Linked DNA regions of Saccharomyces cerevisiae S288C. Changing the gene in region 2 together with the main gene of any one other region gives a genetic interaction. Each region holds a gene or a part of one and is shown on either strand. Other genes may lie near its edges.

What was found. A genetic interaction does not mean that the proteins touch.
Region 1: of TMA20 (region 2) and TMA22, changing one enhances a phenotype caused by changing the other (phenotypic enhancement), as found in Saccharomyces cerevisiae (one study listed by BioGRID).

Annotation. Positions count from the first base shown.
Region 1 is NC_001142.9:460,188-462,955, reverse strand, and holds TMA22 (Tma22p), read right to left. Parts: upstream 1,128-2,768; coding exon 531-1,127; downstream 1-530. Other genes in the region: YJR015W (uncharacterized protein), read right to left, coding at 1-235; GPI14 (glycosylphosphatidylinositol-alpha 1,4 mannosyltransferase I), read right to left, coding at 1,363-2,574; YJR012C (uncharacterized protein), read left to right, coding at 2,763-2,768.
Region 2 is NC_001137.3:165,707-168,783, forward strand, and holds TMA20 (translation machinery-associated protein 20), read right to left. Parts: upstream 1,180-3,077; coding exon 1,169-1,179; intron 1,066-1,168; coding exon 531-1,065; downstream 1-530. Other genes in the region: PAC2 (Pac2p), read left to right, coding at 1-377; GTP-Rho binding exocyst subunit SEC3, read right to left, coding at 2,102-3,077. UniProt on the Saccharomyces cerevisiae protein: Involved in translation.

The sequences.
Region 1 (2,768 bases), on a different chromosome or scaffold from region 2:
GATTAGGAGAAAAAAATGAGCCACTCGAAGGAGGAAACGCTTTCTTATCCTCGGAATTTGGCTCAGGGTCCTTCGAAGAATCCGTTGTTTGACCATCCATGTCTGGCACACCTTGTGAGACAGCATCACCGACCACGCTGGAAAGGTCATGTATATCGTTGCGTCTGCAATATTCCTCGTCCGCTTCCATATTATTATATGCTGTTGGTTCTATATCATCTAGAGATGAAGTCATAACTATACTTACTTACGGCTGGATTGAGTTGTGTTTTGTACGCCTATGGTCAACAACAAATTTTGCAGTTTTTCGGTTGCAAATAATTTGAATAGGCAATGGGGACTATATTTATTGTCCTACTACGAAGGTTTCAGAGAAGGAACGGCGCAGGCGCACGAGGGCCGGCTGCACAGTATATATGAGCGACGATCTCAAGAACGATATAGGGTTTGACTATCTAACCTACACGCCTGGTTACCAAGTAAAAAGTCCTTTTCTCCCAGAACGGTGCTATTACATATTTATGGATTGCTTACTTGGCAGCTCCTTCTGCAGCAGGCTTTTTCTTCTTCTTAGCATCGATGGTTTCCACTTTGACGTCCTTTAGGCCTTTTTCTTCCAGCAAGGAATGTATGTAAGTTTCCACTTCATCCATCACGTCACCTTGAATGACAACTTCTTCTTTTTTCTCTGCATTTTTCGAGACTGAGCACCCTGTGGCGAACCTAGACGCAAATGTCTTGGCTAGCTTTTTCATGTCGATGTCGAAAACTTCCAGCCCAGAGATAGCGACGATAAACTTTCTCTTGGTCCTAGCTTCTCTTTTAATGATCACTTTCGATGACAGCTTCTTAGCTAATTCTCTTTGTTCCCTGTTTTCCTGTTTTTTTTGAATTTTCAGCAAGTCCTTTTCCAACTTTTCCTCTCTAGCTTCGCCAATACTGGATTCAGCCAGTTTGTTGGTCACGGCTTCCACCTCTTGCGTATTATCGTCAGTACCGTATAGCTTTGCATAAAGGTCTGCGTGGTTTTCAGATAACCAAACTTTACAACGCTTTAATTTTCCTGAAAACTCGCAGTACTCTGGTGGGTAGGAGCAAATTCCACAATAGATGACTTCTCTTAACATTTTATGCAATATGCTTTTCTTTAGTTTAGCTCTTGAACTGTTTCCTTGGGGTGATTTTATCCAGTAGGAATTAATAATTTTTTCACTCACACATCACATCAAGTATCTTTTTCCTTTTTTTTTTCAGCTTTTTTCTCTTTTGGTGGTGCGCTTTTGCATTTTTTTTTTCATATTTACACATTCATTATATGAGTAGATTTATAGAATTGATGTACATGGTGCAAGTTCACGTCAGTCAGTTGTTCTTTTTGTTGGAAACTGTGGGTTGCGTCGGTATCTTAATATCAGTAATAAATTGACCCAGTAGCCACACATTGGTGACGAAAAATAACACGCTTGCAATAAATAGTCCAGGATAGAATACATTCTTGCCTTCGAATTCCAAATAGTAACCTTGGCTTAACCAAATTCCCTGCGTTCCTACCCAAAGCGTGGCCATTAAAAGCCCCTTCTTCCAACCAATGTGCGTTCTTGAGAGGTAAAATGGTAGAAAGATCAGGTACCAAACAAAATATTGCGATGTGCACACTTTATTATATGTCACAAATGCGAACGTCTGCACAAATAAAACCCTCAATAGGTTATCGAATGTGGGATTCCACCATTCAAGACATCCAGTTACTAAAACAAGCAGCAATTGAGGCACAAATGCGTACCTTGAGAGATTGGACTCACCATTTTCCTTATTTGCAGAATCTAAATACAATAGCATGTTCCACACTGAAAAATTGTGTCTGTGATCCGTTCTGTATAAGTGGTACAAGTATGCCTGATCCAGAAACTCGTATCCGTATATCTTGTACATTGCCCAACCACATCCAAGCAAAGTTGTTAGAGTACTCAAACCGATATTGAGTAGCGATGTAAGTTGTGTTCGTGGACCCTGGTTTCTTTTATTGTAGTATATAAAAATTGCTATTGGGATACAATATATGATTGGATATATTTTGAAATGGATAGAAAGACCATATAAGATTCCAGCTAGGGTGTATCTACTCTTTTGTAGAAAAAAAAGCGTGAACATGATCAAACAGCAAAGCACGCTTTCAGCGTTTCCCCTTGTACTGATGGTGATAACCATCGGATTCAATAGCCAAATGCTTTCCAATATTAAAGCTCTTTTTCTGGAGATGGCCTGGTTCAAAAGCTTCATTATAATGAGCCCAGTAACCAAATCGAAAATAACAAATATGACCTTCCCCAAATGAAACCATCCAAAATAATGATTAGGCACTAGCAGCCAACTTAGTAGCGGTGTGTAACGATATGTATCCCTTGCATAAGGTGATTTGCCTTCGTATACATATTTAGCAGCATCATGAAACACAAAATAGTCGATATCAGTGTACCTCACTTTGAAATTAGCGTCCTGGTAAATGCCAAAAAGAAAAAATCCGACTCTTACCAAGAATGACAGTACAGTCAAGCCCCATTCTTCGCCAGTCATCTTTCAACTTTATCACCTTTTACCTTGCTTGTCAGTTGTTGACTTTTTTATGTATATATATTGTGTTTTTTTTTGTCAAGTTCTTACCAACTATTAAAGTTTCTTTTATTATTATCGGAGCCTGTAAAAGAGCTCCACATGTTTCGGTTTACCTCTTGAAAATTGATTGCGAACATAACGAGTCAAGCATGGCA
Region 2 (3,077 bases):
ATCTGCCGCGTTGGTCAAGCCTCATAAAGTCGTATGAAATCGATATGAGTAAGCTAAGTTTCAACAATGAAAGAGAAACACGGCAATCTCTTGTCTTAAAAATAAAGATAAGAGCTGGCAAGAAGCCGAGTAGTGATTTAGATTATTGGGTCCTTCCCAGTTTTACAGTAAGGTACGTTAAGAGTGTAATATGTCGAAAGCTAAACTTTGACATACTGAATGTTAAGTTATTTCATGAAAATTCTGAAGGGATGATAAACGAAATAAAGTATAATTTTCGCCCCATTTCAGATTTTAATGTTGTGAACGGAGATATTATTCATGTTTCGTCTCCAGTAAATAACAAGAGCATTCAGAAGGTTAACAGCCCATCGTAATCACAGTATATAGTTAATCTTGGCTAGTTGCATATTTAAAAATCAGGAAACAGCCTTTTAGATTGTAAGCGGATGTTATTCTAATTTTTTCTTAGTTTCTTTATTTTATTATGTAGCAGATGGATAGTAATATAGTGTTGACGGCTCCGTTTGTTACTCAACGCTGAAGTTCCATAAGGGGTCGCCCAAATGGTGAATCAATTCTATGGAATGACCTTTGTTCACTGATTTAATTTCTTCAGTACCCATCATCAATTCACCAATAGCCAATGCATTCTCTTTATTTTCGGCATTGATGACTACAATCGTACCTTTCTCGTAACCAGGAGCAGGTGGTAAGTCGGCACCCGCAGAAGTTAGGCCAGGGCACATGATATTAGCACCTGAGAGAACGAATTTAATAGCACCTCTATCAACCTGAACAGTGGGATAAGCCTCTGGAAATTTGTGTACTAATTTCAGGCTTGGAATCAGTTCATCGAATTTTTGAAAAAAAAGAACTTCACCATCGACGGAATACAATTGGATCTTATCTTCACATTTAATCAACTCGATTTGACTCTTCTTAGGAATTAATTCATCAATAACATCTTCTATTTTGGGGTACTGCTTGACCAATTTGGCCTTTAACGTTCTTTGAATTGAAGATTTGACCTTTGAACGTGAATGGACATCTTCTCTTGTGAATCTATCGATGATGATGTTAGTAATTGCTTACTGAGTCAAAAGTGTACACTAACCCCTGGTAAAACCAGTGAATTACGCAATATTCATTCTCATGTTAGACATACTTCTTAAACATTTCCTCTCTGCTGTTTTAGTTTACCGTCTTTGTCTTTTATATGGTTTTACATAAGGTTATAGCAAAATCAAGTTTTTTCACACAATAATTTTTCAGATAATTAAATTTTTCGTCATTTTTACACCTACAAATACAAAGCATAAGAGTAAGGTAACTATGAATTTAGTGGAAAATGACCATAATGATAATTATCAATAGATAAAATTATGGTTTTTGAGGTGAAGTTGAGGTCTCGTTTATAGACGGCACTGTCAGGTAATTGGTCAACTCTCCTATACAAAGTTTACTGTATCGGGTGAAAAGAAAGACACACAAGAAGGAGAACACTCATGCCTACCATTTTAGTTGCCATTTCTGTATTACTTACAATTCCAGCTTCTATAACGTGAACTCACATTAGAGAATTCGGTGAAAAAGAAAAGAAAAATATGGTTGGGCCCTCAATTGAATGTTTCAGTCCGGTATCCCTAACCTATTTTTTGATATTACTTCCAAAGAAAAATAAACAGTCCCTTTGAAAGAATGAATATCGGTAATGAAAAAAGGTATTCCAAAAATTCCCTACATAGTCTTGAAGTATTCAAAAGCGAACACCGAATTGACCATGAGGAGACGGTCTGGTTTATAATTAAATTTCAACCAGCAAAAACACAATCTCGGACGAATCCTCACTGATATGCGTATTTCCCGTGCATAAGGATGGAGTATTAAGGAAGGAAGTGAAAGAAAAGAAAATGCATTAAACGTAAGTAACAATAGTAATTGGACAATGAAGCTAACTAATATTCTGTTCCTTTTATATTCAGAAAAAAAAATTCGAAAACTAATATATCATTTTACACGATATTTGAAATTGAAATTTATCAAAATATTTACTTAATTAGTCTAAATATGTAATATGAAGCGACAATGCAGAGGTTACTTAGGCATTCTTGTATTCCTCGAACGCACTTATGATATCGTTCTTCGTGAAGCGTATGTTTGTCCCTCTATAGTGTTTATCAATTACAGTGTATAGTTTCAAGTATAGTGAGACGGTTTGACCTTGAATGCACGACCACAACTTATCGCATAGGACGTTGTTTATGGCATTTTCTTGGTGGTAACCGAAGTCATTTACCATATGAGTGTGCAGCCTTTTTACTAGAGTTTCAATTTCATGGGAAGTGTATGCTAAAAGAATGTTCTCTAGGTTCTGCCTGCTATATGCGGCCCATCTTGAAGGATTGGTCATGTTCACATTGTTGGTATTTTCAATGATGTTGCTCACACCATAAACAAAGGCTGTTAGTTTAGGCATAGTATCGCGGAGTAGAAAGGAAGCATAAGATTCTTTTTCCACATCGAAAACTTTCTTAACGTTTTGCAATGACGTATCAAATATACCATCCTTATTGAAGTTTAACATGGAAAGCATTTCAGTTAGCCAGTTACTGTTCACTAGGAGAGAAATAGTTTCCATATAGTCATTATTTAAAGCAGCAGTATCTGAAAGGTTTGGATTAATGCTTGAATTAACTTCTTTGTGAGTTATCGATCGTGTGGCAGCTATGCTTAGCTTCCTGAAGCTCGAATTCATTAATTCGATGGACTCGTAGCCTTCATCGGTATCTTTAATATCCATAGACCTCTTAGCAAATTGGAACAAATCTTCTGAATTCTTCAAGCCTACTGGTAAATCAAGTATACCTGGAAGAATTTCTCCATTGGTGGTTGCGTTAGAAATTCTTTCGAAGTGCAAAACCTGCTCTTCTACATTATCAGACCACACTTGTTTTATTTGTGTGTACATTCTAGTCACTGCAGACAATAAAAATTCATGGTTGGATGATTCTAAGCTTTTAATTTCATTCTCCAAGTAAAAAGTTAAGGCTGGGGCTACCGTTGGTTCGGCTTTC